2 linked regions of the Anolis sagrei genome follow. The protein of the gene in region 2 purifies or fractionates together with the protein of the main gene of each other region. This does not show direct contact. Links are inferred from orthologs where the notes say so. Each region holds a gene or a part of one and is shown on either strand. Other genes may lie near its edges.

Region 1 (11,758 bases), on a different chromosome or scaffold from region 2:
TCTCTGTTGTTTTGCTATTGTAATTTTAGAGTTTTTAATACTGGTAGCCAGATTTTGTTCATTTTCATGAAAACAATTTTTTTGCCTTGATATTCTGGGATTTAGGGCAGAATGGAAGGGCCCTATGACTCTTATCTTCCACAGATATAACTCGCCCTTATATCCTTTCCCTCCACAGAAACCCCAACCCGCTCTCAGCACCTATAGCTCTCGTTGTTACCTTGCCCCCCCCCCCTCCACACAGCCTTACATCACACAAAATCAAGGCAGAAATCCCACAATATCTGCTTTGAGCTGGGTTATGTGAGTTCACACTCAGATAATGAGATTTTTTGCCTTGATATTCTGGGATTTAGGGCAGTATGGAAGGTTCCTATGACTCTATCTTTCACAGATATTATTATTATTATTAAACTTTATTTGTACCCCGCTAGCATCTCCCAAAGGACTCGATGCGGCTTGCAAAGGCCAAGGCCTCAACACAACAACAGCAAACAATAACAATACGATGCAAAGCAAATTAAAAACATAAGCAATAACAAAACATTACACTATTATGCAATAAAAACCAGGGCCGGGCCAGTGATGGGCACAGGTTAAAAAGTGCTGGGTGTGAAAGGTAGTATGTTGGGATTCTGGGCAAGTGCAATGAGAGTCTTAAACTGTAATAAACTGCTTCTGGGACATAGTGCTGGGGGTTATCCTATTCCGGAAAGGCACATCGGAATAGCCAGGTCTTCAAGTTCTTCCTAAAGACTGCCAACGTGGGTGCTAGTCTAATGTCTTTGGGGAGGGTGTTCCAGAGTCAGGGGCAACCACAGAGAAGGCCCTGTCCCTTGTCCCTTGTCCCCACCAAATGCGCCTGTGACGCAGGTGGGATCGCGAGCAGGGCCTCTCTGGATGAACGATACAACAATATACCAATACATCAATATAACAAATCCATCAGATCTCATCACTAGAATCAGAATCCAGTCTCGTTATCCATTATTCCATGTTCAATCAATTGCACTGCTTAGTCAAATGCCTGTTCAAATAGCCAAGTCTTCACTTTTCTCTGGAATGTCAGTAAGGAGGGGGCCGATCTGATGTCTGCAGGAAGGGCGTTCCACAGCCAAGGGGCCACCACTGAGAAGGCCCTGTCTCTCGTCCCTGCCAAGCGTGCTTGTGAAGCTGGCGGGACCGAGAGCAGGGCCTCCCCAGACGATCTTAATGTCCTAACTGGTTCATAGGAGGAGATGCGTTCGGACAGGTAGATCGGACCAGAACAGTTTAGGGCTTTAAAGGCTAAAGCCAGTACTTTGAATTGTGCCCGGTAGCAAATTGGCAGCCACCTTGAATTGGGTTCGGTAGGTAAAGGGCAGCCAATGGAGCTCCTTAAACAGGAGGGTTGACCTCTCTCTGTAAGGAGCGCCAGTTAACATCCTGGCCGCCGCCCGTTGGACCAGTTGGAATTTCCGAGCCGTTTTCAAGGGTAGCCCCACATAGAGCGCATTACAGTAATCCAACCTAGAGGTGACTAAGGCATGGACCACCCCGGCCAAATACAACTCGTCCTTTACACTTGATCTTAGCCAAAAGGCCGAGAAGCGATGTCCAGAAGTCATCGTGGATGGCGGCTCTGAATAATGAGCTGGCTGGATTCGGTCTGCCTTTGCAATTTCTGGGTGTTCTGGGTCTGGGGGCAGGGCAAGTGCTCAAGCGGCGCATTAGGGATGTCTATGCACAGCTGGACCTAGAGAGCATAGGTAGGTCTTCAGCCACAAGGTTTTTAGCTTCCCACAAAAAGGAATATTCATTTAGAGCACTACCTAACTATTCCACTTCCTCTACCCTTAGACCCATCGCAAACTCTGTTCCTGCGGGAGAAAACCTTGCTAGCAAGTCCCTGACGTCACGAGACTCCGCCTCTCGCCCCGCCCCTTTCTCCACCCCTTTCTCCGTGCGAGAGTGGTTTTTCCTTTGCTAGGGCAGCATTGCCAGCATACTCTCTCAGTTGGCAGAATTCAACTGAGAGAAAATGCGGGCAATGCTGCCCTAGCAAAGGAAAAACCACGCTGGCAAAGAGAAAGGGGCGGAGAAAGGGGCGGGGAGAGAGACGCAGGCTCATGACGTCAGGGACTTGCTAGCAAGGTTTTCTCCCGCAGGAACCTAGTTTGCGACGGCTCTTAAGAAGAATATATACTAGGGCTAGGTTTGAACAACTCGGTACGATGGTGCAAACCGGGTGTTACTGTAACATCCCAAGAAGTGAGAGATTCTGCGTCTGGGGAGAACAAACAGTGGAAGACATTGGACATTTCTTAATTGACTGTCCAGCATATACTGAACTGCGAGACACATATTTACATCTAATATTATCCAACTGCAGGTTCCCCAACAGAAATGATATTCTGAGATCCCTCTTGCAAGGGCAGGAAAGATCCAGCATCATCAGAGTAAGCCTTTTTATTCTGAAAGCTATTAAGAAAAAAACAGATTTCCTGAAAGAAGAACCAGGAAAATAAGATTCTGACTTATCACCTTGCTTGTTTTTTACTCGTGTTCTATTTTGAAATGGTCATATGACTGATCAAATAAATTATTATTATTATTATTATTAACTCGTCCTTTTATCCTTTCCCTTCACAGAAACCCCAACGTTGTGACCTAGCCCCCCCCCCCCTTCCCAGGGCCCTTCCACACAGCCCTGTTGTTGTTGTTCATTCATTCAGTCGTCTCCGACTCTTCGTGACCTCATGGACCAGCCCACGCCAGAGCTCCCTGTCAGCCGTCACCACCCCCAGCTCCTTCAAGGTCAGTCCAGTCACTTCAAGGATGCCATCCATCCATCTTGCCCTTGGTCGGCCCCTCTTCCTTTTGCCTTCCTCTTTCCCCAGCATAATTGTCTTCTCTAGGCTTTGCTGTCTCCTCATGATGTGGCCAAAGTACTTCAACTTTGTCTCTAGTATCCTTCCCTCCAGTGAGCAGTCGGGCTCTATTTCCTGGAGGATGGACTGGTTGGATCTTCTCGCAGTCCAAGGCACTCTCAGAACTTTCCTCCATCACCACAGTTAAAAAGCATCAATCTTCCTTCGCTCAGCCTTCCCTAAGGTCCAGCTCTCACATCCGTAGGTTACTACAGGGAATACCATGGCTTTGACTAGGCGGATCTTTGTTGCCAGTCTGATGTCTCTACTCTTTACTATTTTATCGAGATTGGACATTGCTCTCCTCCCAAGAAGTAAGCGTCTTCTGATTTCCTGGCCACAGTCTGCATCTGCAGTAATCTTTGCACCTAGAAATACAAAGTCTGTCACGGCCTCCACATTTTCTCCCTCTATTTTCCAGTTGTCAATCATTCTTGTTGCCATAATCTTGGTTTTTTTGATGTTTAGCTGCAACCCGGCTTTTGCGCTTTCTTCTTTCACCTTGATTAGAAGACTCCTCAGCTCCTCCTCGCTTTCGGCCATCAGAGTGGTGTCATCTGCATATCTGAGGTTGTTAATGTTTCTTCCAGCAATTTTCACCCCAGCTTTGCATTCATCAAGCCCCGCACAACGCATGATGTGTTCTGCATACAAGTTAAAAAGGTTGGGTGAGAGTATGCAGCCTTGCCGTACGCCTTTCCCAATCTTGAACCAGTCTGTTGTTCCGTGGTCAATTCTGACTGTTGCTACTTGGTCCTTGTACAGATTTCTCAGGAGAGAGACAAGGTGGCTTGGTATGCCCATCCCACCAAGAACTTGCCACAGTTTATTATGATCCACACAGTCAAAGGCTTTAGAGTAGTCAATGAAGCAGAAATAGATGTTTTTCTGAAACTCCCTGCCTTTCTCCATTATCCAGCATCCGGATATTGGCAATCTGGTCTCTGGTTCCTCTGCCTTTTCTAAACCCAGCTTGAACATCTGGCAACTCTCGCTCCATGTATTGCTGGAGTCTTCCTTGCAAGATTTTGAGCATTACCTTACTGGCATGAGAAATCAGGGCCACTGTACGGAGGTTGGAGCAGTCTTTCGCATTTCCCAGCCCTACATCCCACAAAATCAAGGCAAATCCCACAATATCTGCTTTGAACTGTGTCCACACTGCCATATATTCCAGTTCAAAGCAGAAAATGTGGGGTTTCATTCAGCTGTGTGGAAGGGGCCCCAAACAAGGCTGAGGCTGCCCTTCCTTGCCCTCCCCTCCCACCCTTTCCCTCAATATCCCTGGTTGCCATTACATCCCCGAGGCCTGCTGTTGGTCTTCCTCAGGGCCTCCTCTCCTCTCCTCGCCCTCCCCTTCCCCTTCCCCTGAGTTCTCACACATGGCCGCAGGGGGCTCGCACGGGGCCCTCGAACACCTCCAGGCACACCGGGCAGGTGAAGCGGGACAGCGGGTCCAGCGAGTTCGCAGCGACGGCGGAGGCAGCAGCAGCCCCCTCTGGGTACCGAGAGCTCGCCTCAGCCAACGCCATCTTCGTGAGAGACAGACCTCGACAGTTATCCCAACGGTAGCACAACAATTCTACCAAACGCGAAAGAGGAACGAACGACGGCGGCCTAAAAGGGACAACACGGCCCAGGCCCCGCCCAGCGAGCCTAAGCCACGCCCACCGAGCCCAACTGCACAGGCGCGGCAGGAATAGCGTTCCTAATGGCTGGGAGTTTGTGTGGGAGGGGACTCTTGTGTACTTTGCCCATCGGCTTCCAACTGGGTGGCACCCCACGATGCAGGCGAAACGTCAGGAGAGAATCATAGAATTGGAAGAGACCTCATGGGCCATCCAGTCCAACCCCATTCTGCCAAGAAGCAGGAATATTGCATTCAAATCACCCCTGACAGATGGCCATCCAGCCTCTGTTTAAAAGCTTCCAAAGAAGGAGCCTCCACCACACTCCAGGGCAGAGAGTTCCACTGCTGAACGGCTCTCACAGTCAGGAAGTTCTTCCTCATGTTCAGATGGAATCTCCTCTCTTGTACGTTGAAGCCATTGTTCTGTGTCCTAGTCTCCAGGGAAGCAGTAAACAAGCTTGCTCCCTCCTACCTGTGGCTTCCTCTCACATATTTATACATGGCTATCATATGTCCTCTCAGCCTTCTCTTCTTCAGGCTAAACATGCCCAGCTCCTTAAGCCGCTCCTCGTAGGGCTTTTTCTCCAGACCCTTGATCATTTTAGTCGCCCTCCTCTGGACACATTCCAACTTGTCAATATCTGCGTTTAATTGTGTGGGATGGGACTCTTGGAACATCCCGGTTGTGTACTTTGCCCATCGGCTTCCAACTGGATGGCACTCCACGATGCAGGCGAAACGTCAGGAGAGAATCATAGAATCAAAGAGTTGGAAGAGACATCATGGGCCATCCAGTCCAACCCTCTGCCAAGAAGCAGGAATATTGCATTCAAATCACCCCTGACAGATGGCCATCCAGCCTCTGTTTAAAAGCTTCCAAAGAAGGAGCCTCCACCACACCCTGGGGCAGAGAGTTCCACTGCTGAACGGCTCTCACAGTCAGGAAGTTCTTCCTCGTGTTCAGATGGAATCTCCTCTCTTGTAGAACATGGCCATATAGCCCAAAAAACCTAGAACAACCCAACTTATTATTTATTCATATCAGGAGCGAACCAACAGTTGTATTTTCTTTAAAAGAGGGGGGGAAACCCACAAAGTTTGCAAATTTGGCATTCTATGAAATGTTCTTTGACCTGTAGCTGGCCACTTAGAGTGCCTCTGGTGTTGCTACAAGAAGGTCCTCCACTGAGCATGTAGCAGGGCTCAGACTGTAGCAACACCAGAGGCACTCTAAGTGGCCAGCTACGGGTCAAAGAACATTTCATAGAATGCCAAGTTTGCGAGGTTTGTGGGTTTTCCCCCCTCTTTTAAAGACAATACAACTGACTCACCCTGGTCATTCCACAGATAGATAAACCCTTTTTCCTAGTTCCAAGAGACCTCACTACCTCTGAGGATGCTTGCCATAGATGCAGGCGAAACATCAGGAGAGAATGCCTCTAGACCATGGCGATATAGCCTGAAAAAACCTACAAGAACCTAAATAAATGTATGCTGAAACTTTCGACGCAATAATTAAAGGTGCAAGAACCCTTCTAATTTTAAATCTAGCAAGTCTAATTTCTTTGTTCCTGGAAACTATGTGGATTGACAGCTGATAGCTTGCACAGTGACACAAGTCTAGGAACCACCACTTCCAATGGTTCGAAATAGGAGTTCAAAACAAGGACTGTCCTGTAACAGTATTTCAAAAAGAAGATTGTTATCCATTAAAGGGACAGGTGACCACTTATCCTCCTATTATACCATCACCATCTGGATTAAACGATCAGGTCTAAAGCAATTTGGGAAAAAAACATGATCCCCACAATAGCCATGATAAAAGGTGAATACTGGATTTGATAAACCCCTTTGCCCAAATACTGTCCTTTAGGATGATGAACTGAGATCTACCACAAATAACATTGTCTTGACTCTGTTTAGGTTTGTTGTTTGCACACCAGGGATATCCTGAACAGGATTGTTCTCAAAGCAAGTTGTGTACTGTCTGCTTTAAGATCAAAGTGCAAAAGTATTCAGCAGAGATCTGCTTAAAAAAACGGAGAAGCAATAAGTCACACATGCTTTCTTTTTCATTCCAGATTTTCTCACACATTATGAAAACTAGGTGTGGAAAAAGATGTTACATAACAATTTATGAGGCATCGAATGCACTGAAATTCTAAATCCTGGATCATTAGTGAGCAGGCAATTCTGGCAAGTGTCCTACAACTCTAAAATAAAGGTGATCCCAAGGAGCTAAACTTGAGTGCAGCGTTTTCCATTAAAATGAATAGACGTAATGCCTATAGCATGATTTTCCATTTTAAGATTGGCCTTTTCACTGGCCAGAAAAAATGTCATTCAAATACATAGAAATCTAAAGAGATGTGGCAAGACTCTGATCTAATTTCTATATGAATTAATTTACAGCATCAGTAGTTTCCATATGAATTAATTTGTAGCTTTGGTAGTTTCCATATTAATTAATTAGGAGCCCTCGGTGATGCAGTGGGTTAAACTCTTGTGCTGGCAGGACTGAAGACCAGCAGGTCAAAGGTTCAAATCCAGGGAGAGTGCAGATGAACTCCCTCTGTCAGCTCCAGCTTCTTATGCAGGGACATGAGAGAAACCTCCTACAATGTTGATAAAACATCAAAACATCTGGGTGTCCCCTGGGTGACGTCCTTGCAGACAGCCAATTCTCTCACACCAGAAGCCACTTGCAGTTCCTCAAGTCGCTCCTGACACGAAAAAATAATAATTCACCCACTATGAGGCATGCTGACACTATCAGGTTCCCACCTTTCTCCAGGTATAGCTGCTAAGTGTCCTTTATATGTTTTCAGAACAAACAAGCAATGTACATGAAGCATCAGTATTGTGTATATGTGCCTTCAGGTCACCTATAAACATACAACGATACCACAAATTTAACAAGGTTTTCTTAGGCAAGGAATCCTCAGAAGTGGTTTTGCCAATTTCTTCTTCTGAAATATCGCCTCTAGCACCTGTGATTTCCTGGCGGACTCCAAGCCAAGTACCAACCAGGGCTGTTCCTGTTTAGCTTCCAAAATCAGACAAGATCTGGTGCCTTTAGGCTATTTAAGCTAAACTGACTAGTTATTCTTCACTTTGGAGGTGCCAGAACTGAGAATGCTTCACCTGCTAATTTCTGGGGTGTGTGTGCCTCCATTTATTCCCATCACATCAATTAGGTTATGACACTGTTATAACCTAATTGATGTCAGACCAGAGCCTGGAAATGTTACATATCTGATAATGTCAGACCAGAGCCTGGAAATGTTACACGTTTGGATTACAACTTTTTGAGAAAAGTAACAGTCTCTATTCTTTCTTAGATGTGGCCAATTATGTTTTGACTAGTCAGTTTCAAAGTTGAAGTACTTTGGCCACATCATGAGGAGACAGCAAAGCCTAGAGAAAACAATTATGCTGGGGAAAGTGGAAGGCAAAAGGAAGAGGGGCCGACCTAGGGCAAGATGGATGGATGGCATCCTTGAAGTGACTGGACTGACCTTGAAGGAGCTGGGGGTGGTGACGGCCGACAGGGAGCTCTGGCGTGGGCTGGTCCATGAGGTCACGAAGAGTCGGAGACGACTGAACGAATGAACAACAACAACAAGTCAGTTTAGCTGATTTTTTAACTTTGACCCAAATAAGTGCATAATCTCTGCTATTCTAGTTGTATTATGGATGAACAACAACACTATTTTATTTGGTAGGAGACAAATAAGTCACCTATATAGCTCCCAGATATAATTAATTGGGGCTTTCCATTTAATTGAAACACATTTCATTAGTGACCCCACCATAAAGGTCAATTTCCAACTGCTTTGGTTGGAGTGTGAAGGGATGGGTGTGTTGTTTTTGTGATGTGTGCTGGGGAAAGCATTTAATTTCGTTGTACAATGACAATGAAGTTATTGTTCTTTGGTCAACTTGTTAGGCTTTGTTCATCTTCATGGGTCCTTGTCAGCCACAAGAACTCCAATCTGAACAATAATATTTTTTTTTACTTGGCACATATTTTTCTTTGGACCAGATTTTTTCTTGTATAGGTGACATATAGGAGTTTCATGCCGAAGACAAAAGCTAAGAGTTACGAGTGGGAGGGGAGAAGTATGAATCATCATGCAATATGGAGAAATTCTCATCACTAACTGCAGTTATTTGTCACTGCTGGCATCAGGTCACCATCTGATGATTTATGTTTTGAATCCATACGTTGTTGCATGCAGTGTGTGACAGGGAACAGAAGACGATTGCACAGAACAGAACAGAAGCTGTGTGTGGGCACTATGTTGTAGCTGTGACAAGAGGGAAAAATCCATAGTGGAAGGCTGCAGACAAAAGGATTAGACTGTTGGTGGTGGCTTTTGCACATAATATGTGCAGAAATTAATACTCACTCCTCCCTCCCCCCATGAAAGAAGATATGGTAAATGTGGGAGAAATGAAGAGAGAAGTGTCATTCCATCATCACTGTTACCAAGTACCGAAATGCTTATTATCATGGCAAGAAGTAGGATAAGAAAAGAGGGTGTGTGTGTGTACTGCAGAGTGAGATGTACTTAATTTATGTGCACCACACATTTGACGTGCCACATCTACAAAGAACTAGATGTACCCTCCTAGGAGATTCCTCAGGGAGCCAGCATGGCAAAGTGACTTCAGCATGGGATGATGACTGGAAATCAGGGCTTGAATCCCTGCTCTGCTATAGAAACAGCTCTGGTGACCTAAGGTGAGTTACACTCTCTCAGCCTCAGAGGGGCAAGGGCCCCCTCTGAACAAGTTTTGTCAAGAAAACTGCATATAGGTTTGTCACCATAACTCAGGAATAACTTGAAGGTGCCACAACAAAGGGTATTCCCTCAATCAATATTCATGCTTTGCCCTCATCACTACAATATTTTTTTTTCATAGGAATGACTGCCAAAAAGGCAAAGACATCTTAGATCCCAATCTGGGAGAAAGGCAGGATGTAAATCTAATACAGACATATATACATACCTAAAAGAAGGCACTTATGAGAAAAGTTAATCCTCTGGTCAGAGAGAGACTTAATATCAGGTATCTCAAGCCCTACCTACACTGATAGTTTGATGAAGTTTCAACTGTAGCAACTAGACAACGAAATGCACAAAAGAGAGTCCTGAGTAAGCATCAGTGCTCTGTAGTTTGTGTAATCATCCACACAGCAAAACCACTTTCTTCAACAGCAGTTTGAAACTGCATTAAATAGTCAGTATATATGGGGCCTTAGATAGCATTTGCTGGGGAGTGGCTACAATGTGTTGGAGGAAAAAGCTGCAACCTGCACACCAAAGCTATTCTGAGTTCCTGTCTCAGGAGAATGACAGGATAAAAATAAATTAAACAAACTTGCTCATGCACTTTGCCTTATACCTCTAAAATGAAAATGGAGGACACTGATCCACTACCAGTGTTGAGAAATTCAGCTATCGGTTTTGTTAGTTTTTATATAGGGAACAAGAAGAGGAAGCCTCTTGCCCTTTGTTTCAGGATATTTCTGATACATTTGTTACACTTACATCCTAACTTTCCTTTAACAAGCTCAAAACAGCTCTTCTGTAACTCAGTTCAATAAAGTTGAACACATATATCCTCCAAGTCAAGTCTCTGGTTTTTCATGACTGTGTTTGGACTTTTGTTTTTGTACTAGCAACTTAATACAACTATAAGACAAATGCTTTTCTCTACCAAAGGTCTTTACCTGCTTATCTGTGGATGTGTAACTGACCACCAGAAGGGGATTCTTGTCACTCCATCTGCAAGCTGGCATGCTTTGCATTTCAGCTGAATTACTTACACACACACACAACACCCACGTATGTTGTTATAAATGTCTCTCCGCTGAAGCTATAACCCATGCATTTAAGGAAGCACTCCTAGTCGATGAAAGCTTATGCTACATAAATAGGCGTTTAAGATACCACAAGGTATATATATATATCTACATTGAAATAGGATAATACAGGTCTTGCCTATATTGACTGAAATTCCGACACACCTTGTTCTGAATTTAACATGCACAATGCATTTTTATGGACATTACTCCATTTTTAATACTTGCTTTTTACCCTGAGGTTTTACAGAAATCTGGATTTTTAGGCATGTAGCTGTCCCTCCAAGTGAGCGGAATTGGTTGGTGAGCATTTCTACCAGGATGTAGCTTTTTCCCAGTTTTAATGTAAGTATGCAAACACAGTACTCACATATTAGTATATCAGCATCAATGCACCTCTGCTTAACAGAAAATAAGTTTATTTGCATGCATGATAGCAAAAAACACTCACAAAAATTATCTATAGCCATGTGGCTGAAAATAATGTGAAGGATTTTTTTTTTGTCATGTCAGGAGCGACTTGAAAAACTGCAAGTCGCTTCTGGTGTGAGAGAACTGGCCGTCTGCAAGGACATTGCCCAGGGGATGCCCAGATGATTTTTGATGTTTTTATCAACCTTGTAGGAGGCTTCTCTCATGTCCCCGCATGAGGAGCTGATAGAGGGAGCTCATCCGCCTCTCCCCGGATTTGAACCTGCAGCCTGTCGGCACAGGGGTTTAACCCACTGCACCACCGGGGGCTCCTCATGTGAAGGATTGGAAATGTGGATCGCTTTTTGTAAGAGAGAAGAGGAGATAAAAATCTCAATTAGCTAAGAAGAGGGAGAAAAGAAAAACAATGCAAGTATGGAGCCAAATGTTTCTAATGCAGTGCCAAATGATACTGTTTAACGATGCACAAAGAAATGGAGAGGACTGCATGCTGGTGACAGAAGGTTTATATTGTTTTCACAGAGCTTATCCTGACTTTCAATTTCTTAGGAGGGGAAGTGCATTCTTTTGGTAAGAAACTGAAGCACATGTTATAACCCAGCTGTCAAGGATGAAATTAGATCTACAGTTTTAAGAACAACCACCATGTACTCTTCACCTGTAGTGTGAAACTGCCGACTTCACAAAGGGCATGTATTTTTTGGCACGTCTGTTAGATCAACTGTCAGCTAGTTGCCTTCCCCTTCTATTGCAAGTTGTCCTATCCATCCTATATATGTAATGGCTGCATGTGCTTGCTTGTTTTTGACCATGTCTGACTTAGCTAACAAGCAAATAGACAAAAGCTGGGAGTTGGAGTGAGGAAACGTGGCCTCGTAAGTGCTGGAGTAGAGGTTTTCCCCCTGGCTCAAACTT
Region 2 (11,747 bases):
TTTGTATGCAAACTAATCATCTCACCTATTTTGTGAATAAATATGGCAACGGCTATCTATGACCCCTTCCAGACAGCTGTATAAAATCCACATTAAACTAGTTATATGGCAGTATGGACCCTAGGCCCTTCCACACAGCCCTATATCCCAGAATATCAAGGTAGAAAATCCCACATTATCTGAGTGTGGATTCAGATAACCTAGTTCAAAGCAGATATTGTGGGTTATCTGCCTTCACATTCTGGATTGTATGGCTTGTGGAAGGGCCCTATGACTCACATCACCTTGATCCCTCCCTAAAAAATGGGGGGGGGGGGCATTTTGATGTGTGAAGTCCATTCTCTCTTTTCTACTTTTATAATTCAGTAAAAATCTGCCTAGAATGAAAATTAAGCAACATATCATTTTTCTTTGTTGTATGAAGTCCATTCTCTAAACACCGGGATACAGTTTCTCTGTCCTGAAAGCCTCTTTGGTCCTGATGCTGCTGGCTGGTTCGGCGTGTTGGGGGAAAATCGGCAGGGATGTCCTGCAGCTGTACCCCAAAACGAACATCATACTACCCTTTGGGAATATACTAGAGCCACCTTCCCCAAAGGGATGACCTCTTAATGTGTCAAACAACGACATTCACCAACCTCAACCATTAGACCAGTGTTTCTCAACCTTCCTAATGCTGCAACCCCTTAATACATTTCATGTTGTGGTGACCCCCAACCATAAAATTATTTTTGTTGCTACTTCACAACTGTAATTTTGCTACTGTTATGAATCATCATATATATCTGATATGTAGCATGTATTTGATACAAATATGCAATATGCTCAATTTTGAATACTGGTGGGGTTGGGGGGAAGGGATAATTGATTTTGTCATTTGGGAGTTGTAGTTGCTGGGATTTATAGTTAACCTACAATCAAAGAGCATTCCGAACTCCACAAATGAGGGAATTGAACCAAACTTGGCACACAGAACTCCCATGACCAAGAGAAAATACTAGAAGGGTTTGGTGGGCATTGATCTTGAGTTTGAGAGTTGTAGTTCACCTTCATCCAGAGAGCACTGTGGACTCAAACAATGATGGATCTGGATCAAACTTGGCACAGATACTCAATGTGCCGAAATGTGAACATTGGTAGAGTTTGGGGGTAAATAGACCTTGACATTTGGCAGTTGTAGTTGTGGGATTTATAGTTCACCTACAATCAAAGAGCATTCTGGACCCCACCAATAATAGAATTGAGCCAAACTTCCCACATAGAACCCTCATGACCAACAGAAAATACTGTGTCTTCTGATGATCTTTGGTGACCCCTCTGACATCTTCTCATGACCCTCCCCCCCAGGGGTCCAAACCCCCAGGTTGAGAAACGCTGCACTACACCCACTGGAGACCCTTCCACATGGCCCTATATCCCAGAATATCAAGGTAAAAAATCCTACATTATCTGAGTGTGGCTTCAGATAACCCAAAGCTGATATGGTGGGATTTTCTGCCTTGATATTCTGGGATATAGGGCTGCGTGGAAGGGCCCTGGGACTGGGTTATGGAGATTATCGTGCAAGATTTCTACAGAGGAGACTAATCTAAGTCTTCGGGAATTAAACATGCCAACTAAACAGCGATTCTTATGTCAGAGTGCATCTTACTCTACAGAATTTATAACAGTTTCTATGCTATGTTAACCTAATTGCCATGGCTCAATGGCATGGAATCATGGGAGTTTTAGATACACGTCTCTAGGGGTCCTTCCACACAGCCATATAACCCAGAATATCTGCTTTGAACTGGGTTATCTGAGTCCACACTGCCATATATTCCAGTTCAAAGCAGAAAATGTGGGATTTTATTCAGTGGTGTGGAAGGGGCCTTAGTCTTCTCTGCTAAAGAGTGCTGGCACCTCACCAAATGATTCCACAGCACTGAACCATGGCAGTTAAAGTGGTGTCAAACTGCATTCATTTTACAGTGTGGATGCACACCGAGTGGAAGACTTTACAAAAGAGGTGGTGGAAGAAGAAAAGGAAGAAGAGGAAGCAGCCAGTCAGCTTAAATAGTTATTTATATTTGATAGTGAGCCTGACGTACATTGTCAAAGAACTCAGCACATAAACTTCATCCAACTCTACAAGAAATCATCAAAAAAGAACTCTACAACAACCAACCGACCGTGCAAAGAAGATGCAGCAAAAACTAACAACACAGTCCCAATGTCTCCAGCTTTCATGACCTGTTGGACCTTGAGTAGGAGGAGAAAAACACACAGCCTTGCCATGTAGGAAAAAAATGCACCCCTACCCAAGGATCAGAAAGGGTTGCTTTTTATTTCCTGCCTTTTCTCTCAAGATGGAGGCTAAGGGACTTACCCTACAGAATTGAGCAACCCTTCAAAAATGGATTTATATTTTTCTCTCTCAATGGCAGCCTGCAAGAAGAATTACACCAAACAAGGCAGTCCAGCCAGCAGAGGTGGTCCATATATTTGATCTCGGGGATGCAATTCATACTCGTGAGAGTTGTGAATGGGGAATGTCTTCTGATGCTGTTTTTCCCAAACAACACCCGCTCCCCCCAATGATGACTAGCTGCGCCAGGCTGAAAGCTACTTTGCCTTTGTAGACACATAACCGCGATGCATGGATACAGGAGCCTTGCCTTTATCTGGACAGCCTTTGATCCAGGTGACCTTGGGCAAGGCCGAGACTGTACCTTTCTGTGGGTCTCACCTGGCTGATAAAAGATCACAGGCCTGGTCTATTGTCAGTCAGGGAGAGGGGGTGAAAAAAGGAAAACAAACATGGCAAAAGGAGGGGAAAAGGAAGGGAAAAAGGAAGAAGGAAAGACATAAAAATATTTTAGTGGGCAGAGGAAAGAACGCCTTTCCCTCCTTGAGATCCAGTTCAGGGTGGTGGTGGGGAGAGGCTTTATTATTAGTAACCTCTTCCGACGACTAGCGGATCCACGCATGAGATCTTGTTTATCAAAGACAAGAGAGAGTCCCATCTTTCTTTGGAAGGAATAAAGGATAAATAGGGAACAATAGAGAAGCGGACCACCAATGGGGTGGAAGACAATGGCTCGGAAAATAAGCCTCGGCGCCCCATCCTTTTGGATCTGATCCCAATTGGAGCCACTTCTGTCCCCATATTCCCCCCCCCCCCCATATATATGTGTGTGTGTATGTGTGTGTGTGTGTGTATATATATATATATACATAGACCTCTATTTTCCCACCTTGGCAAACATTCCAGAGGTCTATCCTTTTGGACATATTTATTTATGTTACACCTCCAAAACAAAAAAACAACAACATCCATACACCTCTATTTTTCAGACCACTTCCCTTAGAGAATGAGGCGAGCACCTCCCAAAATTATACATAGACCTCTATTTTTCAACCTGGGAAAACAATCCAGACTTCTATCCCTTTGGACCAGTTCCAAATTGGTGCTAGATTAATATATTTATTTATTTTACGCTTCCAAAACAAAACCATCCATAATACACCTCTATTTTTAGACCACATCCCTTGGAAAATGAGGCTACTACCTCCCAAAATATATAAATAAATCCCCATTTTTCCACCTGGGAAAATAATACCTTTGGACCAGCTCCCAAGTGGTGCTAGATTAGTATATTTCTTTATTTTACGCCTCCAAAACAAAACTATCCATAATACACTTCTATTTTTTAGACCACATCCTTTGGAAAATAAGGCCACCACCTCCCAAAAATATAAATAAATCCCTATTTTTCCACCTGGGAAAGTAAGCCTTTTGGTCCTGCTCGTAATTGGAGCTAGATTATTATAATTCTTTATTTTACCCTCCAAAACAAAACCATCCATAATACACTTCTATTTTTTAGACCACATCCCTTGGAATATAAGGCCACCACCTCCCAAAAATATAAATAAATCCCTATTTTTCCACCTGGGAAAATAATATAGATTCCGATCACCTTTGGACCTGCTCCTAATTGGAGCTAGATTAGTATATTTCTTTATTTTACACCTCCAAAACAAAACCATCCATAATACACCTCTATCTTTTAGACAACTTCCCTTGGAAAATGAGACCACCACCTCCCAAAAATATAAATAAATCCTCATTTTCCACCTGGGAAAGTAATACCTTTGGACCAGCTCCCAATTGGTGCTAGATTAGTGTATTTCTTTATTTTATGCCTCCTAAACAAAACCATCCCTAATATACACCTCTATCTTTTAGACCACATCCCTTGGAAAATGAGACCCCCACCTCCCAAAAATATAAATAAATCCCTATTTTTCCACCTGGGAAAATAATCCAGACTCCGATCCCTTTTGGACCTGATTGTAATTGAAGCTAGATTAGTATATTTATTTATTTTACACCTCCTAAACAAAACCATCCCTAATACACCTCTATTTTGCAGACTACTTTCCCTGGAAAATGAGGCCAGGGGAGGCATCAATTTGGACCTGCTCTCCTTAACCATTTGACACCCTGATTGGAGGCAAAACAAAAAAACACCCCTATGGATGCACAAAAAAATAATCATCCAAATACACCCCCTATGGTAAGACCCTATATCGCTTCCCCTCCCCAAAATAAGAGATTGTCAATGAGGGAAATACTCCCTGCTTCAACCTCACAAAGGTGGGCACTAGGTGAGCTCCATCCAGGATTGACACAACTGTATCAATCTCTTTTGGGGGGGGGGGGGGCACCCACTTCAATGCTTTTAGGGGGGCATAAAGGAGATGCTGCATTTTTAAAAAGGTTGTGGGGCCTTTAAAAAAAAGGTAGGGGCCCCCACCTGCAAGTTCCCCCAAATAATACAACAAGGCAGAGACCCAGCCCCAAAAAACACTCAACAAGGCAAGGGCTGATGCTGCAGCTGTTTGCAATGCGCCACATGCAGAGGCGTTTTTGATGAGGTCCAGACGGCGGCGGTGCCTTGTTTCGCGATGGATTCTCCCCTCCTCCCCCGGCTCCTGCTTCCCCCGCTTCCTCCCCCTCTGAAGCGACACGATCCCGAGATAAACCCACCATAGCGGCACCTCTGGGGGCGGCAGGGAGGCTCCATCCATCGAGGCTGAGGAAGAGCTGACGTGCCGGAGGAGGAGAAGGTTGCCAAAGGGAGAGCAGGAGGAGGAGGAGGCGCTGCTGGCTGCTGCTTGCTTTGCTTCTTCCTCCTCCTGCCGCTGCTGCTGCTTCTGCCTTTGGCGCGCCCGAGGAAGCCTCGCGCCGCCCGGGGTCTTAGCGCCGCCGGTTCCCCTTCCTCCTCCTCCTCTTTCTTCCTCTTTCTCTCCTCCTTCCCCGCCGAGGCGCAGTCACGTGACCGTCGCCATAGCAACAGCCTCGCCAAAGAGCGAGAGAGGGGCCCAGGAGGAGGCTGTGGGCGGGCGTCGAAGAGGAGGAAAGGAGGAGGAGGAGAAAGAAAGAAAAGAGGAGGGGAAAGAGCTGTGGGTTTCTCTGCCCAGAGGGTGGGGGGCCAGGATGCCTTCTCCTACGGCAGGGGGCTGTCAGAGGGGTCGCCAAAGACCATCAGTATTTACCCATTTTCCTCGTTTCCAACAGACCTCACAACTGGGTTGTTATAGGTTTTTTCGGGCTATATGGCCATGTTCTCTAGAAGCATTCTCTCCTGACGTTTCGCCTGCATCTATGGCAAGCATCCACAGAGGTTGTGAGACCTCACAACCTCTGAGGATGCCTGCCACAGATGCAGGCGAAACGTCAGGAGAGAATGCTTCTAGAGAACATGGCCATACAGCCTGAAAAACCCACAGCCTGCACAAACTTTTTAAACAGAGGGCCAGGTCACAGTCCCTCAAACTGTTGGAGGGCTGGATTATAATTTGAAAAAAACATGAATTCCTATGCACGCTGCACATCTCTTATTTGTAGTGCAAAAAAAATTTAAAACAATACAATAATTAAAATGAACAATTTTAACAAATATAAACTTATTCGTATTTCAATAGGAAGTGTGAATCTGCTTTTGGCTGATGAGATAGGGTTGTTGTTGTTGTGTGCTTTCAAGTCGTTTCAGACTTAAGTTGACCCTGAGCGAGGGCCGGGTAAATGACCTTGGAGGGCCGTATCCGGCCCCAAGGCCTTAGTTTGAGGACCCCTGGCCTACACAGTATTTACTGTTAGTCATGGGGGTTCTGTGTGGGAAGTTTGGCCCAATTATATCATTGATTGGGTTCACAATACTCTTTGATTGTAGGTGAACTATAAATCCCAGCAACTACGACTCCCAAATGTCAAGGTCTATTTCCCCCAAACTGCACCAGTGTCCACATTTGGGCATATTGAGTAACCATGCCAAGTTTGGTCCAGATCCATCATTGTTTGAGTCCACGGTGCTCTCTGGATGTAGGTGAACTACAACTCTGAAACCCAAGGCCAATGCCCACCAAACCCTTCCAATATTTTCTGTTGGTCATGGGAGTCCTGTGTGCCAATTTTGGCCCAATTCCATCATTGATGGAATTCAGAATGCTATATGATTGTAGGTAAACTATAAATCCCAGCAACTACAACTCCCAAATGTCAAGGTCTATTTCCCCCAAACTCCACCAGTGTCCATATTTGGGCATATTGAGTATCCATGCCAATTTTGGTCCGGATCCATCATTGTTTGGTCCAGATCCTACATCTCTGGATGTAGGTGAACTACAACTCCAAAACCCAAGGCCAATGCCCACCAAACCCTTCCAGTATTTTCTGTTGATCATGGGAGTCCTGTGTGCCAAGTTTGGTTCAATTTGAGGGTTCATTTCCCTCATTGGTGGAGTTCAGAATGCTCTTTGATTGTAGGTGAAGTATAAATCCTAGCAACTACAACTCCCAAATGTCAAGGTCAATTTTCCCGAAACTCCACCAGTGTCCACATTTGGGCATACTGAGTATCCATGCCAAGTTTGGTCCGGAGCCTTCATTGTTTGACTCCATAGTGCTCTCTGGATGTAGGTGAACTATAACTCCAAAACCCAAGGCCAATGCCCACCAATCCCTTCCAGTATTTTCTGTTGGTCACGGGAGTCCTGTGTGCCAATTTTGGTCCAATTCCATCATAGATGGAATTCATAATGCTCTTTGATTGTAGGTGAACTATAAATCCCAGCAACTACAACTCCCAAATGACAAAATCAATTCTCCCCCAACCCCACCAGTATTCAAATTTAGACATATTGGGTATTTATGACAAATTTGGTCCAATGAATGAAAATACATCCTGCATATCAGATATTTACATTACAATTCATAACAGTGACAAAATTACCATTATGAAGTAGCAACAAAAATAATTTTAAGGTTGGGGGTCACCACAATATGAGGCACTGAATTAAGGGGTTGCAGCATTAGAAAGATTGAGAACCTTACTAAAGCATGCCCAGGGGTGCAGCATCTACACATTGTGGCATTAACACGGTTTGGCACCACTTGCCTCAAGGCGATCATCATTATTAATACTAATATTAGTTAATTTCTATCCCTGGGTTGCTGTGAGTTTTCCAGGCTGTATGATCATGTTCCAGAATCCTTCTCTTCTGATGTTTTGCCCACATCTATGGCAGGCATCCTCAGAGGTTGTGAGGTCTGTTGGAAATTAGGCAAGTGAGGTTTATATATCTGTGGAATATCCAAGGTGGGAGAAAGAACTCTTGTCTGCCTGAGGTAAGTGTGAATGTTGCAATTGATCACCTTGATTAGCATTGAATAGGTTGTTTGAGTTAGCCAAGGATGCATCTGTGCTGTAAAATCAATAGTTTGACATCACTTTAACTGTCATGGCTCAGTGCTATAGAATCAATGGAGATATATATTAGATGTATTCTCTCTTTTTTCAATAGAGTTACCGGCTTGGTAGATGCAGGGAATTGGTGGTTCAGTGGTAGAATTCTCACCTGTCATGTGGGAGGCCCGGGTTCATATCCCAGGCATTGCACCAAATGAAGGGGCACCGATGTAATGATGATGCTCCAATAGCATATCTTGATTTCAGTAAGGCCTTTGACAAAGCCCCCCATGACCTTCTTGCAAGCAAACTAGTTAAATGTGCGCTAGGCAAAACTATTACTACATAGATTTATAATTGGTTTACTTGGTATAATTGGTTACTCCACTTAGGCAGAAAAAACAAAATGCAAAGATACAGAATGGGGGACAATGCCTGGCTCGAGAGCAGTACATGTGAAAAAGATCTTGGAGTCCTTGTGGACAACAAGTTAAACATGAGCCAACAATGACATGTGGCAGCAAAAAAAGCCAATGGGATTTTGGCCTGCATCAATAGGAGTATAGTGTCTAGATCCAGGGAAGTAATGCTACCCCTCTGTTTTGCCTTGGTTAGACCACACCTGGAATATTGTGTCCAATTCTGGGCACCACAATTGAAGGGAGATATTGACAAGCTGGAATGTGTCCAGAGGAGGGCGACTCAAATGATCAAGGGTCTGGAGAACAAGCCCTATGAGGAGAGGCTTAAAGAGCTGGGCATATTTAGCCTGAAGAAGAGAAGGCTGAGAGAAGATATGATAGCCATGTATAAATATGTGAGAGGAAGTCACAGAGAGGAGGGAGCAAGCTTGTTTTCTACTTCTCTGGAGACTAGGACGCGGAACAATGGCTTCAAACAAGAAAGGAGATTCCATCTAAACATTAGGAAGAACTTCCTGACTGTGAGAGCCATTCAGCAGTGGAACTCTCAGCCCTGGAGTGTGGTGGAGGCTCCTTCTTTGGAAGCTTTTAAACAGAGGCTGGATGGCCATCTGTCAGGGGTGCTTTGAATGCAATATTCCTGCTTCTTGGCAGGGGGTTGGAATGGATGGCCCAGGAGGTCTCTTCCAACTCTATGATTCTATAGTTAAGCAACCGAACCCAAAGGGTGCTCACTAATGCTTCCTCTTCATCCTGGAAAGAAGTGACAAGTGGATTGCCACAGTGTTGGGCCCAGTTCTGTTCAACATCTTTAGTAATGATTTGGTAGAAGGTTTAGAAGATGTGCTTATCAAGTTTGCAGATGACACTGAATTAGGAGGAAGAGCTAATACTCCAGATCATACTCACTTTAACAAATTATAGAGCTAAAATAATGAATTTCAACAAGGACTAAAATGTAAGATACTACACTTAGGCAGAAAAATGAAATGCAAAGATACAAGATGTGTGATGCCTGGCTCAACAACAGTACATGTGGGAAAGAACTTGGGAGTCTTTGTGGACAACAAGTTGAACATGAGCCTACAGTGTGATGCAGCAGCTTAAAAAGCCAATGGGATTTTGGACTGCATCAAAAAGAGTATAGTATCTAGATTGTGGGAAGTCATGGTGCCTCTCTATTCTGCTTTGGTTAGTACTCACCTGGAGTCTGGAGACAGTTAATCACTATGATGAGTGTCTTCAAGAACTGGGTATTTTTAGCCTGCCAAAGAAAAGATTGGGAGGAGACATGATAGCTATGTATGAATATGTGAAAGGGTGTCATAAGGTAGAGAGAGCAGGGTTGTTTTCTGCTGCTCTGGAAACTAGGACTTGGAGCAATGGGTTCAAATTACAGGAAAGGATATTCCACCTGAACATTAGGAGGAACTTCCAGACCGTAAGAGCTGTTCAACATTGGAACTCTCTGCCCTGAAGTGTGGTGGAGGCTCCTTCTTTGGAGGCTTTTAAGCAGAGGTTGGATGGCCAATTGTCAGGGATGCTTTGAACATGATTTTCCTGCTTCTTAGCAGGGGGTTGGGCTTTGTAGCCCATGTGGTCTCTTCCAATTCTATTATTCTATGATTGTACATACTAGCCATTCTAAACACCTTTGCAGAAGCATTCAAACAGCTTGATCTCTCACTGAACATTGAGAAAACCAAAATACTCGTGCAGCAGGCACCAGCCAATCCCTCTGCAGAGCTGGAAATACAGCTTAATGTTGTAATGTTAGAAAATGTTGACCATTTCTGCTGCCTTGGCAGCCACCTCTCCACAAAAGTCAGCATCGACACTGAAATATAACACTGCCTGAGCTGTATGAGTGCAGAATTTTTCTGAATGAAGCAGTGTTTGAGGATTGGGACATTTGTAAGGAGACCAAGATGCTTGTTTATAAAACTATTGTCCTCCCAACCCTGCTATACGCCTGCAAAACATGGACCGTCTACTACAGACGTCGCACTCAACTTCTGGAATGATTCCACCAGTGTTGTCTCTGAAAAATCCTGCAAAATCTCTTGGGAAGACAGGCAGACAAATGTCAGTGGTCTGGAAGAAGCAGCAAAGATCACCAGCACTGAAGCAATGCTCCTATGCCATCAACTCTGTTGAACTGTCTACTTTGTCCGAATGCCTGATCACCATTTACCAAAGCACTTACTATACTCCCAACCCAAGAACTAAAATGGTATGTTGCTTGACAAGAAAACAGATTTAAAGATGGGCTTAAAGTCAAGCTTAAAACTGTGGCATAGACACATAGAACTTGGAAGCCATGGCCTTCAAGCATCCTAACTGGAGGTCAATTGTGAGCAACAATGCTGTGGAATTCAAAAAGGCACAAATGGATGGCAAAAGGGATAAACATGCAACAGGAAGGCATGTCAAGCCTTACATCTGGAAATTGATGTCCCCACTGCGAAAGAACATGCGGATACAGAATAGGTCTCTATGGTCTTCTACGTGCTCATCCGCAAAGACCCTTCACTTGGAAGGCAATCTTACTTACCTATTATGATGAGCAGGGTGAGCCACTGCGTTGAAAGTGGTGTCAAACCTCATTCTACAGTGTAAATTGACCGTTCAGCAGTGGAACTCTCTGCCCCGGAGTGTGGTGGAGGCTCCTTCTTTGGAAGCTTTTAAACAGAGGCTGGATGGCCATCTGTCAGGGGTGATTTGAATGCAATATTCCTGCTTCTTGGCAGGGGGTTGGACTGGATGGCCCATGAGGTCTCTTCCAACTCTTTGATTCTATGATTCTATGAAATACATACACAACCCTCTGCCTATTGGCTCCACCTTCTTTCCTCCTCAGGGCACCTAAAACTAAAACTTTATTTTCATTGGTCCTAAGAGCAGATGCATTGGTTCAAGTGTACAGTAGTTGAGTGAGGCATGGAAAAACTCCTGGATTTAGTCTTCTCCATTAAAAATATAGTGATTAGTTATGTCATTTATTTCTATAGTGCTACCCATGTACATGGTGCGTTAGAAGGTAGGTAGGGATCTATTGGGATAGATCCCTGGTGACCGAAAGCAAATTGCTGTCTAAAAATTACCAACTGTGCCAATACATAATTTTATGCAGTATTTTAAGGGTGCATCTCGCAATTGATTTATGTAGCATATTAATGATTCTAATTCTTTATATAGTATTTTAATGGTATATTTTGTATTGTATTTTATAATCTGGCTTTTATGTATTTATTTGTATGTCCTATATGTGAAAGACCTATGGTCTAAGCATTAAATAAACTATCAATAGCAGCATTGGCAGGTGTCCACATGTACTGTTCTTCAAGGACAGGGAGAAACTCAAGTTGGGCAACAGTGACTCAAATGTGAATGTATAGCTATGTGCATATGTTAGTGCAAGAGTTTAGGGTGCAGTAGCTAAATTGGCTTATGTACCGCCATCGTGACGAAATAGGTTCTTCAAGCTTGGCGCCTGTCCTCTTTCTTCATTCATAACAGAAGGGTGGCGTTATCTCCAAACTGCAGACAAAAGATGGATGGGCTAGAGAAGTTTGCCCAAAGCCAAACT

Evidence for each region.
Region 1: the proteins of DTX3 (region 2) and RNF114 purify together in Homo sapiens (affinity purification with mass spectrometry; 3 studies listed by BioGRID and IntAct, counting the BioPlex papers as one, with this or other methods). This does not show direct contact. The link is inferred for Anolis sagrei from reciprocal best matches to the Homo sapiens genes DTX3 and RNF114.

The regions. Positions count from the first base shown.
Region 1 is NC_090024.1:221,681,306-221,693,063, reverse strand, and holds the start of RNF114 (E3 ubiquitin-protein ligase RNF114), read right to left. Parts: upstream 4,578-11,758; 5' UTR 4,442-4,577; coding exon 4,290-4,441; intron 1-4,289. UniProt on the Homo sapiens protein: E3 ubiquitin-protein ligase that promotes the ubiquitination of various substrates. In turn, participates in the regulation of many biological processes including cell cycle, apoptosis, osteoclastogenesis as well as innate or adaptive immunity.
Region 2 is NC_090022.1:186,265,243-186,276,989, reverse strand, and holds the start of DTX3 (probable E3 ubiquitin-protein ligase DTX3), read right to left. Parts: upstream 5,302-11,747; 5' UTR 5,036-5,301; intron 1-5,035. UniProt on the Homo sapiens protein: Regulator of Notch signaling, a signaling pathway involved in cell-cell communications that regulates a broad spectrum of cell-fate determinations.